Linked DNA regions of Xenopus tropicalis. The protein of the gene in region 1 interacts with the protein of each later gene in a pairwise test. Links are inferred from orthologs where the notes say so. Each region holds a gene or a part of one and is shown in the gene's direction. Other genes may lie near its edges.

Region 1 (4,279 bases):
AATGTTTAAGTCTGACGCATATGATGCATAAGCTAACCATACATGCACAGATAAAATTGCATAGGTAAAAATCACACAAAAAGTTTAGTATGGTTACCTGTGTTTGTATGCTAGCCCACCAAACCCAACTAATTTCAACCTGCAAAAGAGCAGCAGGTGTTATGAGGAGGAGTGTACCTGCAAAGGTGCACTGAATGCTGAATACTGAATTAGATTTACACAATTTCAGAGTTCAACTTTTACATGGCATCTTGTGGATACAATTCCCATAGCAGAGACTCAAGTTAACCTACAGTATGGGGCACATTTACTAAACAATTTACTAGGCAATTAACAATGCTTTCAGCGTGACAAATTCAGAACAAATATCACAAAAAATCAGTTTGTTTGAATACGAAGATTTTGTACTTACGATCCGAAATTTTCGTATTGATTGTTTGCGAATGGCGATCTGATTTTCGTATCCGAACGATACGGAAAAACCTTTCTGATTTTTATGATTTTGGAAGCCTCCCATAGGACTCAGTGGCACTCTGCAGCTCCAACCTGGCCCAAGGAAAGTCATGATAACGAAGCTTGAATGAATCCGAAACTTTCGTACTCATTACGATTTTGTCAAGCAAATTGTCGCAAAGTACGAAAAAGTTGCACAAATTAACGAAAATATAGCAGAAAATATGCAAAAGTTGTAAACTTTAGAAAAAATACGATTTTTTTGTATTCAGCCCTGTCGTACTTTAATGAATGTGCCCCTATGTGTTTCCATGGGGAATGCATAAAAAAGCCACCTCATGGGTAGACTGGTTTTGTGTGCAAGACAGAGCCTTAAAAGTCTTTACAGGCTTCAAACTCATACTCACATGTCTGAAATACAGATGTGAGAGCAGCTAAATGCATGAGCTTAGTGATTCCATTTTATTCTTACCTGATTGCACACATGAACATTCAGATCTGAGTTTTTAGCACACTTAATTTTTTTAAAACACAACATGCTGCATTTCTGTGCATTTGTCAGTGCATACATAATATATTGAAATAGAGAAATATATGCTGAGCTCATCCAAAAGCACTTGTATTAAAAAGCAAACGTAACTATGTGCGTCAAACCCTTCCTCTCATATTTACTTAGGCACTAATACTTTGTATACTTATTCCTTACTAGCTTGTACTTATTCCCAATTATACCTCTACCAAAAACTGTTTCTAACAGAATGAACAGCAAATATTTCAAGAAACACTACATATGTACATTTCCACCGGTTCCAACACTGCTTAAAAATGTTCTGAAAAAAAGCTACAGAATAAATGGAATGCATTTTCTTTTCCACTAGAGGGCACTCTGTACACTCTCTGGTTCCTAGGCTCGGGGAGGGGCGGAGCTTGCGCACTTCCTCATCTGCTGCTATAAATCTCCAGTTACAGCGCCGTGCAATCACATTGCGCCTGAGTGCTTGCAGAGGAAGTTTTGTGGTCAGATTGTGTTCCTGAGGTAACGTTGTTAGAAAGCTTTGCTTATTAATCTTTACAGGAAAAGTATATCATGTATTCATTTTAGCCTACAATGCTAGGTTATCAGAAGTATCATGTTGTTTGCAGGGCGGGAATTGTAGATATATAATGAGCTCATATTTAGTAATGGGCATTTACAGATTTGGTTTGTACTTTGCAAGTTGAAAATTAGAGTACACACAATTATTTTATATTGAACAATCATTTATGAAACCAAAAAGCCTTAATTTAGCAAAGCATTGAATATAGTATTTCATATAACGTATATGACATGGGCTCCTTACATGTACAGGTCATATGTATACATGTATGTGTATGTGTGTGGAGAGGGGGGTGAATCCAGATAGAGGGGCTGCTTTAATATTTAGTATTAAAAAATGGTGCAGCCCAGCAACCTGCATTGTTTAGAAGTGCATTGCCTCACCTGCTGGCAAATACCTGGATGATGTATATGTGTCACAGTATAGTTCGCTAAATCCAAGCAGCTATACAGTTCTGTACTATGCAGAGTTTGTCTGGAGGTACTGTTCACTTAATTGCTTGAATTCATCCTTAAACATTATATTTATAATTCCCTTTAAACAGCGGTGAGAATTCTGCTGTTTTACCACCCACCAAATCAAGCAGGCAGCAGTTTGCTGGAAATAACCCTGTGTGTCACTGCTCTTTCTCTGTCACAGATATTAATGGAAGGGGAAGCAGCACTTTCTGTTTTTAGTAAAAGTGTCAGCTTTGTGTATCTGTGTTCCAAACTGCACTTTTTTAGCATTTTCGAATCATATATAAAAGTAACTTGATATATATATATGTTTGTATCTGCAGCAGCTACAATACTGTATAGGAATCTCATTGTGTTCTGTACTTGGTTTCCTAACTTTGTAGCAGAGCCAGCAAGCAAAAGTAAGATGAAATGTCAATGTAAGAAAATTAATACATTTGCAAACAAACGCCACATATTAGCTGAATAATGAAATGGTGAAAGGGTAGGTAACTTGCAGGTTACCACACCGGCCATAATCTGCAGTTTTAAATATCTCTAACCTTAAAGGCTCCACCTTCATTTTAATCTTTGACCCCTAACAATTGTTCACTTGCTGTTACAAAGTTAAGCATTTACTTGCACTTATTTTACCTCTTGGGGCTGAAATGCATAATTGATTTTCAAAACCTGTCTGATCTTTTTCTATAGTTTGAAATGTAAACAGGGATAATGTACAAACATATTTTACTGTAGGTCAGGTTACCTATACACATAGTTATATGATTGGGGCAAGCTGTGAACCTTATATCTTTAAAGACTGAAAGGAATTCCTTAGATATTAGTAAAAGTAATTGTGTATCATCTTTCTCTTCTTCAGGTTGACTTGTCTTGCCACCAACTTTTTCTTTTTCCTTTCCACTATAAAGATGGTACAGACTATATTGATGCACACACAGTTTAAATATTAATTATAAATGCCCTTATGTGGAGAACTTGGCAATTTACTTGTGTGTATACACAAATCTTAATATCTCATTTATTTCCATTCTTTTAACCATTAATGCATGCAATTCATTAAAGAGTAGTTACAATCACTGCCTATCTATAGAATAGACCTGTGAGTTATTAGGGCTCATTTACTAATTGTGGGGCAGGGTAAAATGTAACAGACCCCAGCTAAGGGAGTGATCTTGTGGCCATTAGTCCAGTGGTCTCCATCCCCACACACAAGCTGGTGGTGCAGGGAGGGAAAGACACATCTCTTCTAGTGCACCTCCTTTAAAAAGGGTTAATAGTCTCCATCTTGCATTGCATTGGGTCCTTTTCTGTTCGGTGACATAGAGCATGTACAGCTGAAGGAGGTACACTAAAAGACAATTTTTTTTTTTTTTTTTTAAAGAAACTTTTCAGACTTCCTGAGGGTACAGGGAGGTAAGTCATAGGATGGGTTGGGAGAGAGGCCGTTAGAAGAATGCTTTCATTCCTTTGTGTCCTTTGTGTCCTAGGTTATACTTTTACGTCATTAAAGTTTTTTTGGTTTTTTTTTTAGGGTTTAACTTGCTTGCATAAGTAATAAGATTTAGCGCTGCTATCCATACCGAACAGTTCTGCTAGGTGAACCACATACCACCAAACGGACAATGCTATCTAGAAACTGGGTGGTTGGACTAGGGTTTTTTTTTTTCCTTTTAATTTGGCTCTGTTAATTTATGGATTGAAAGTCTTCTTTGTTCTATGTACCTGATCTAATGATTCATCTTATTCATTACAATAATGAATATTTGTAAGTTTTAAAGGACAAGCAAAGCTGTAAGACAACATATGTTCCCTCCCGATTCCCCCCACCCATAAAATTACACCACCTGCGCTCTCCAATACTGTGCTATTTGCATGTACCTCTTAATAATACACAAGCTGACCTGGAGCATGCGCAGTTGAAGGCAAGAGCAGAGCATCTTCTATTGTACATGGTTCTGGTCACTGGTGAGCTAGGAACAGAACAACAAGCCGTTTGGGTTCTGTTCTCTGAGTGGTTTTGGACCAATTTATTAAAATGGTCATTTTGATAATTAGCCAAGGCACCACTGAATATTACTTTATTTTAGCCATGCATTCATCATTTGTACAAATTTTGTTAGACATATGATGTATAAATTACTATTATTGTCCTTTAAAAAAAATTAAAATAAATTCGGAAAGAACAAATGCCATAATGTATATTTCAGATCTTTAAATGAAAGGATGTTCACGTGTTGCTTGAAAGTATTGTAACGTACTGGTGATCTTTCC
Region 2 (4,185 bases), on another chromosome or scaffold:
CTGTCAGATCTGCTTCTGATTGGCTGGTGGGCATGTGTAGCTCAGAACAGGAGACAGGATCAAGTTACACACATGTTCAGAGAATAGGAAGGCTGCCGCTGGCACCTACAGGAAGGGGAGAGAGATTTCAGTGATGTCACTTTAGTCTTCACACTGCTGTAGGCTGCCAGCACCATATCTCAGAGAAGCAAGCAGGGATCTGGGAATTTAGATATGCAGTAAGTACTTAAAAATAATTCCTTTAGACTTACTTTTAATTTATATTAACCTTTCATTGTCCTTTAGAGGAATTATTCTACAGGTATGGGATCCATTAACTGGAGACTCATTATTCAGAAGGCTACTACCTATGGTAAAGACCATCTTGCATAGACTCCATTTTAATCAAATAATTTTAAAACATATTCCCTTTTTCTAAAGTGGTACCTTGTGCTTGCTCCCAACTAAAGCTGGCCATACATACACCAATATAATAGTACAAAACAATTTTCGGACCATGTTTAGGCTCCTATTTACCTTCCCGATAATTCCCATACCATGGCCGTCAGTCATTTAGTTAATCAGACAGGTTAAAAAACTTTGGTCAGATAACAATTAAATCTGCTAATATATTGTTTTTCCAACAATATCCTTGGACCTACAATGCATTTGTGGGACGTCACTTTAGTATGATTGGTGTCTGCCAACGAATTCATTTTCAGAACATCCTCTGATTTGTTATTTTAAGGGCTTTATCCTACAATTTCAGTCTGAATGTTAGTTTTAGATCGTTGCATTTAAATGTACAATTAATATCTGAACATTCGTCGGAAGAAGACTAAAATCTGCACGTGTATGGCCACCTTAAGACATAATTAATAATTTACTTAATTAATTGTTAAACCAATTCTATTAGGTTTATTTAATGTTTAAATGGTTTTTAGTAGAATTAAGGTATGGAGTTTCAAGTTACAGAAAGATCCCTTATCTGGAAAACCACATGTCCCAAGCATTTCGGATAAAAGGTCTCATGCCTGTACTTTTATTGCAGGCACACATTTGTAAAATGGATTAAATTTTCATGCATTATCTGTGTGAATGCTAGGTCTTCAATGGTTAAATCTGCTGCCACCTTTGTCCTAAGCTTCCAGGTATTGATGTGTTTTATTACAACAGCACGAAGAAGCCTAAGGCTTTCTAAAGGTTATGCAAGAGTATGATGGTCCATGTAAAAGACTGCTTTCTTATTAGCAGTTAAATCATCTGAATGCATAACCGGGCCAGTAGAGGGCAGACCTGTTCAGTTACCTTTATTTTAAAGCTGGTTTTCTCTGTAACCGAGTTCTTTTTCGAAAAAGCTGAAGAAGTGGCAGTCAGGAGCTCCTAGTGAAATGATCTGGAAAATTGTATTTATTCTTTTCTACTTTCATACAAGTAAGTGCCTCGAGTTATTTTTAACTTTCTCTGTTTCCTCATGGGGTGTACAGTCTCTGTACATAGCAGAGTTGTAGTTTATTAAGCTATTACCTTATCCTTTGTTGGTCAGGCAGTAATAAAAGGCCATAGCTGTAATCCAGTCTGGAAGAACAAGCAAATGAAATAAACTTTTTTTTTTAATCTATCTTTAAACTTCCCCATACTGTAATGGTTGACTTCAGTCTGAGAAACAAAGGGTAACTGAACTTTTGTTATTAGGGTATGAGTTGGCCCTAAACTAATATAAAAAGTGTGTATAAACTTGATTTGTTTACAGGATTAAGAATAATTAAAATTTCAAATGCATAGTGTTGATTATATTAAAATGTATTTTTAACACTTATTAGAGCTAATCTATTAAACTGCTCTGAGCAGTCAAATGCCTTTCTGTTCTATGGGCTGTTAGCAGCTCAGCTGCAACTGAGTTCTAATGTGAATTGTTGATTCCCTTGTTCAAGGTAATAGGGGATTAGCCATTTTTTACAAGCTCTTTCCCATGCTGACCAAACAGATTAATAGTTAAACCAGTATAGGAACCGTTGCTCTTGAGTGGGGACTTGTATGTTAGAAACCCCTAGACATAAAATGTTATGTTGTGTTTGTTTATGCAGTTATTTCTCAATGATATGTCTCGCCCAGTTAACTGTCCCTCTGACTGAAGTTTATTGAGGAGCTTGCTGGAATCATATCGGCATGTTCCTTAAAATGCTTTTAAAGGGGAGTATGAAGATCATATGGAATGGCAAACATCATTTCCTATCTTTCACCTCTTTAATTTTCTGTGAGGAGATTATAACACAAAGTACAGTGATATATATATAATACAATAAAGTATGAAAATGCACAGTAATAACCAAGCTTGCAGCCAGCCTTATTGTAAATGACTGTTTAAGCTAAACTAACAACACCTTTATAGAAAGGAGTGGTAATGAAAGCAAACCTTCTGCATTTAATGTTTCCGTTACACAACCCCAAAGGGTTCACTGTAGACATTATGGTGAGTACAATAATTGCTATGTATGACTGCTTAATAAAATAAGCATGCTTTTGTGTCAACAATTGACAACCCATACAGGACTGTTTCAACCTGTGAGTGACATTTTTCCTTTGTATAGTGCCAGTTCAGTAATTAAAGGAATACTGCCATGGGAAAACATGCCAAATTCTTAATTTCCCAGGGTACTACAACCATGTGACCTGTGCTCTGATAAACTTCAGTTACACTTTACTGCTGAACTGCAAGTTGGAGTGATATCACCCCCCTCCCAGCAGCTGATCAGCAGAACAGTGGGAAGATAGCAGCTCCCAGTAGATATCAGAATAGCACTAAAAAGTAAGAAATCCAAGTCTGGAAAAGCTCAGACTCAGGCACAATCCACTGAGATGGCTGCCTATAAACCAATATTACAACAACAAAAAAATACATTTGTTGGTTCAAAAATAACATTTTAGATGGTAGATTGAATTATTTGCTGTGTAATTTAAAAATAGAAAATATACAGTAAAAATCATGACAGAATCCCTTTAAAGTTTGCATGATTTACTAGACATAAATAGCAAAATGGGGTTCAAGAAAGTGTTCTCAGCAGTGTTCCCTTTAAAATGCTTGCACCTTCAGTTGACTGTACAAATGCGGCTTGCATGCTTAAAAGTGCCCTGATATACACTGATTGGTATGGGCAACCATCCGTTACAGAATAAGTGATACCACAGAGGGCTAAGCACTAAGCTATTAGTTCCTATTTGTTTACCATTAATAATTATAAGATATCACATAGGGACATTATTATTCACAGTTGGATATCTGATTTTTTATGATGGTTATATGTCAGAACACACTCCCATCTTATCAATGCAAATCGTAAGATAATTTTAGTGACATGTTGATTTATATCACTAAATATATTGCTCAAGCCTCCTCCCATACTAGTCGACTGTAATATCCCTTTTCCCATTATACTGTCGCTCGCTGTACTTGCTCCTTTAGCTGATTCACCTTTAGTTACACTTAGGGGGCCATTTACTAACCATCACATTTTTTTTACCCGATTTAAGAGTTTTTCACTTAGTCGCAAAAAAAAAAAGTTCAGACTTTTCTGAGGTTTCCTATGTGTCCAAACAGCTAAAATTCTGAATCCCACTCACCAGCTAAAACATGCCGAGATCATGTAGAAGTCAACAGCAGATGTCCCTTCCCTGAAGAATTCTTCTTTTGCTTCTAAACTTTAGAGGTTTCGGATTTTTGGTGCTTTTTTTTTTATGGGGCAAGTCAAAAAATTCAGATTTTTTTTTTTTTCAAGATTTTTCCCGCACAGACTTTAAGTTCAGACATTTGCAGAAATGACTTTATTTGAATTTTAAAATAAAAATATAGTTTTAGTAAATCTGACCCTCAGTTATTAGCTCAGTGATCCCCAACCAGTGGCTCGGGAGCAACAATCACAAATAGCCAATCACAGCCCTTATTTGGCACCCCCAAAGACATTTTTACATGCTTGTGTGGCTCACCAACACTTTTTACATCTGAGTGTGGCTCACCAGTAAAAAAGGTTGGGGATCCCTGCATTAGCTATAGCCTCATGTGCTCCTTGGCCAATGGGTGTTTCTTAACATAATCTGATGGCCCATAAATGGGCAAATGAACTACCAACTCTGCCAAGGGTTGTGAGTCCGCAGCTAATATTTGCCTGTGTAAAGGCACCTTACGTTTTGTTCCTAATTAGGCATGAA
Region 3 (4,246 bases), about 22 Mb from region 1:
GCCATGCCCTCTGGCAAAGAGCAGTGGTGATTGAAATGCTCGTCTTTCAACTCTCCTGATATTAGTGAATTAACTTGCTCTATTGAATGCACATGAAGCAGTGATAGACTGACTTCTGCACAAAACGTTGAAAAGTGACATGGTGTCAAACAGAGCTCAGCAACAACAGGCCTGTGGCAATCGTCTGATTCTGGCAAATGCCAGAGGGGCTGCCCGACCTCTGTGTACTGGAAATACCAGGGCTTAATTGGAATCTTAGGGTTGCCACCTTTGTCAGGTTATTTACCCGGACAAAGGGAGCACGTGATGACATAATTTAATTATGTATTTGGCGACATGAGGATGTTGGTATTGGGGATTATTGTGTCCACTAGATGCAATTATGAAGGTTTCTGCACAGTTTCCTTGATATTGAAAACTGGGCAGAAGGTTAACAAACTAGACAGGTGGGAACCTTTTATTTGTTAGTATTCAGAGTGAAGACTGATGAAGAGGGCATTCCCTCCACAGCTGGGACGGCAGTGCAAAACATCCCATGTATCAACCATAGCTGAAAAACTTGACCATCTTCAGACTAAACACAGCCAGTGCAGGCGTTTCCTATTTGAGCTAATGGGGACTGTCGGACTGGGCCCTCAGGGGCCCACCAGAAAACCTTAGACTATAACCTTAGAACCTTAAAACCTTAGACCCACTCTCCAAACTATAATTTCCCCTAGTCTCTTTTATTTACATGCTAGCATCTATTCTTCCATCTATTTCTCCTCTTTGGTCCCATACAGGAATAGGGCAAGACCATGAAGCAGGCCAAATGGTCAGGAGCAGGAGAGCCCACTGACACCTGGGCCCACTAGTTTTCCTGCTGGGCCAGTGCAACACTGGACTGAAATACACCAGCATACACAACACCTATGTGTTCTGAGCCAAATATATATACTGCAGGTATCCATATGGACGTCGGAATAGTGTTTTAAGTATCTCTTAAAGAATACAGCCTCTCTTTCAGTGCCATGTAAACACAACAAGGAAACAAAACAGCGACAGGTTGGATTTCCAATCTGTTGACGTCGCTCTATTTAGAATGCTTAAAGATTAGCGGCAATTATGACAAATGACTACCGTTTGAAGGAATTGTTTATTAACATTAATAAACGAGTTGCTGGCGCATTACTCACACCGGACGGTCAATGTGTAACGCGGAATGACCACGTGGATAGTGTTACTCACGTACATACCCCTGATAATGAGCAGCATTCCTACGGCTTGTCCGGTCCATCCCGCCTCTCTCGGCTTGCACTGTTATCCCTCTTTCCCTGTGTCTCCCTTTAATCGTCACTTCCAGTCTGAAAGACACAGTCACATCCGGCACCCGGGAAATCACACAGACGGCGAGAGATCGTCGGACAGCTCTTGTTACTGACTGAGACAGCGACAGCTTTACTGTGACTAGCGATGTAGGATAGCAGGAGTGACGTAGGTTTGAGAGCCCGAGTGAGGGGATATGTAATGCCCAGCTCGCCGTGCCTGGGGACACCCTACTAACTGTGGCGCTTGCGGATCCTGTCACTCCAGTTCTAAGAACACGGAATAGTCGCGTTGTGGTATCAGACTGATACAACTACACTTTGCTTTCTCATAGAGCTTGGCGCAGTGTCTAATGCTGGCATGTCCGTCTCCTGTCCCACTCGCAAGAAGCTGCTAATATTTCATTTACTGAACTGAGTCGCTGCATAAGAAGATGGAAATATTACACCACACCAGCAATTCTGGCTTAAAATCGTATCATTTCGGCTAATCCCTTGAACTGGGATCATGAGTTTTTATTAACCACTGTTTTTATTTTTTTTAAAGCCAGTGAAAACATAGTCATTTTGTTAAAGTTCCTTTTTTGTATTCGTAGTCATTTAGATGTAGGACATTTTTATTATAATTGTTATTATAGTATTAGGAAATGAACGGATTTTCAATCAAGGAGCTGTGCTGCGTTTTTTGTTGCCCGCCATGTCCTGGTACAATTGCTGCAAAGCTGGCTTTTGTACCTCCCCAGCCCACCTATGCTGTAATACCAGAGCCAGATGCCCTGCCAGCCGGAGGGAATGGACGAGTTGGAACTGGGGTCCTAGGGAGATGGAAACTACACCTCACAGACCGGGCAGATTTTCAATACACTCAGCGGGAACTGGACTGCATAGAAGTTTTTATGACCAAGAGCAGTCGTGGGAATAGGATTGCCTGCATGTACATACGTTGTGCGCCTGGTGCTAGGTATGAAAGCAGGATAGCTTTAAGGCCTCTGATTTCTGGATTGAAAAAAACAATATCTGGTTATGTTTTGTAGGCAGGTCTGGACTTAAAAGAGGCCTGGAATTTCATATCCACAGAGGCACAAACAGTCCTTGCCACCCCATTAAATAGTGACTGTCTGTGGCAGGGTTCTTCACCCGACCTTTTTACCTGTAAGCCACACTCAAATGTAAAAAGTGTTGGTGAGCCACACAAACATAATACAATTTTTTAGGGATGCCAAATATGGACTGTGATTGGCTATTGGGTAGCCCCATGTGAACTGCTGGCCTGCAACTTTTGACTAAAGTTGTCTCTATGCTTCCAAAACTTGTCTCCAAGCCAGATATTTAAAAATAGACTTACTTTGGGTATACTGGGAGTAACATCATGTTACTCAGGAGCCACTGGTTGGGGATCACTGTTCTATGGCATCTTACAGCAGTGATCCCAAACCAGTGGTTCAGGGGCAACATGTTGCTCACCAACACCTTGGATGTTGCTTCTAGTGCCCCCAAACTTGGTGGCAAGTTTTGGTTGAATAAAAACAAGAATTACTACCAAATAAAGCCTCTTGTAAGCTGATAGTGTGCATAGATGCTACCTAATAGCCAATCTAAGCCCTTATTTGGCACCTCCATGAACTTTTATGATCCTTGTGTTGCTTTCCAAGTCTTTTTACATTTGACTGTGGTTCACGAGTAAGAAAGGTTGGGGACCCCTGTCTTACTTACTTACTTACAGCATCCCCTCTGGCATTTGCCAGAATCTACAGATTGCCAGTCTGGGCCTGTTTGAACATTACAGAAGCTCCCCCAAGACAAGAATCACACTAGGCTGTAATGTGACCTGTATGAGGACCAACTGGGGTGTTGGTGGTAGATATAAGTGTGAAGGTTTCATCATTGTGACTGCATAAAAATAAGGCGCAGTTCTTTTGGGTGAATGTGAGATATAGGTGTGTATCAAAAGTTTGTTACGCAAACATTCCATTAAAATGTATTGCTTTTGTAATTGTAAGTATTATCATAATTTTATTAACCATTAACCTACTTGGCATATTTTAAAGCAATTTGCAGTATATTTCATTGGCTGGAAGAGTATAGGTTTTGGTGGCATTCACAGTGGCATAGAAGATCCGGCTTTACCCAGTGATTGCAACCTAATTGCTGGAAGTAATTGCTGGCATACCGTGGCATCTGTGCTCTGTAAAGGGATGTGGGCTCAATACCATTGTAATCCAGTAAACTTTTCTTTTGTTAGCAGGGTCATTTAATAGTTTCACAGCTATTGGGGACCTGCCACCATATTGTACTATACAGGATAAAAAGCAGAGGGTAATTTTGTACCTCCACTCTACCTACATTTCTTTGCCTAGGGGATTGTTGTGTTTGGAGGTCAGCTGTGATACACCTACCATTTAAATCCCCCACCAACATTTGTAAGCTTTACACAAGCATATTATTTTATTTGATTTTTCTCTGTAATAATTAGACTGTACTTTGTCCTTGATTGTAGCTAAGCTAACAAAACCATAATGATGGCAAACAGTCATGTGATGTTTTAATATTAAGTGTATTTCCATATGCTAAAAACTTCAGATGCCAAGGCTTCTGCAGCATGAATCCCATACCTGGTACTTTAAAATGCTTGGTTGCCCTACAGCAAGCAACACCAAGAATGTTGATTATACAGGTGTGGCTACTGAGTTGTCAAGCAGTTTTGCGTCAGTGTTTGTGAAAAAAAAAAAAGTGGGACTAAGTTAACTTGAAACAAGATTTTTTTCCCTAAAGGGATTGTATCACATCTTTTCAAAACAGATATGTTGTGGAGCTCTGATGAAAATGATGGGTTTGTTTATTCTGGCAGATGCTTTGTTCTAAAGGTGCTGTTAAAATCACTGAAAAACAGGTTAAACGAATATCTGTTGCATACCAGTTTTTCACAAGATATCAGCTGTTTT

Evidence for each region.
Region 2: the proteins of hpgds (region 1) and meltf interact in binary tests that used the Homo sapiens proteins (3 or more experiments, as listed by UniProt). The two-hybrid records come from large-scale screens. The link is inferred for Xenopus tropicalis from reciprocal best matches to the Homo sapiens genes HPGDS and MELTF.
Region 3: the proteins of hpgds (region 1) and abhd17a interact in binary tests that used the Homo sapiens proteins (3 or more experiments, as listed by UniProt). The two-hybrid records come from large-scale screens. The link is inferred for Xenopus tropicalis from reciprocal best matches to the Homo sapiens genes HPGDS and ABHD17A.

The regions. Positions count from the first base shown.
Region 1 is NC_030677.2:76,717,139-76,721,417, forward strand, and holds the start of hpgds (hematopoietic prostaglandin D synthase), read left to right. Parts: upstream 1-1,434; 5' UTR 1,435-1,489; intron 1,490-4,279. UniProt on the Homo sapiens protein: Bifunctional enzyme which catalyzes both the conversion of PGH2 to PGD2, a prostaglandin involved in smooth muscle contraction/relaxation and a potent inhibitor of platelet aggregation, and the conjugation of glutathione with a wide range of aryl halides and organic isothiocyanates.
Region 2 is NC_030681.2:106,114,341-106,118,525, reverse strand, and holds the start of meltf (melanotransferrin), read left to right. Parts: upstream 1-1,309; 5' UTR 1,310-1,370; coding exon 1,371-1,413; intron 1,414-4,185. UniProt on the Homo sapiens protein: Involved in iron cellular uptake. Seems to be internalized and then recycled back to the cell membrane. Binds a single atom of iron per subunit. Could also bind zinc.
Region 3 is NC_030677.2:98,290,586-98,294,831, forward strand, and holds the start of abhd17a (protein ABHD17A), read left to right. Parts: upstream 1-1,380; 5' UTR 1,381-1,951; coding exon 1,952-2,265; intron 2,266-4,246. UniProt on the Homo sapiens protein: Hydrolyzes fatty acids from S-acylated cysteine residues in proteins. Has depalmitoylating activity towards NRAS. Has depalmitoylating activity towards DLG4/PSD95. May have depalmitoylating activity towards MAP6.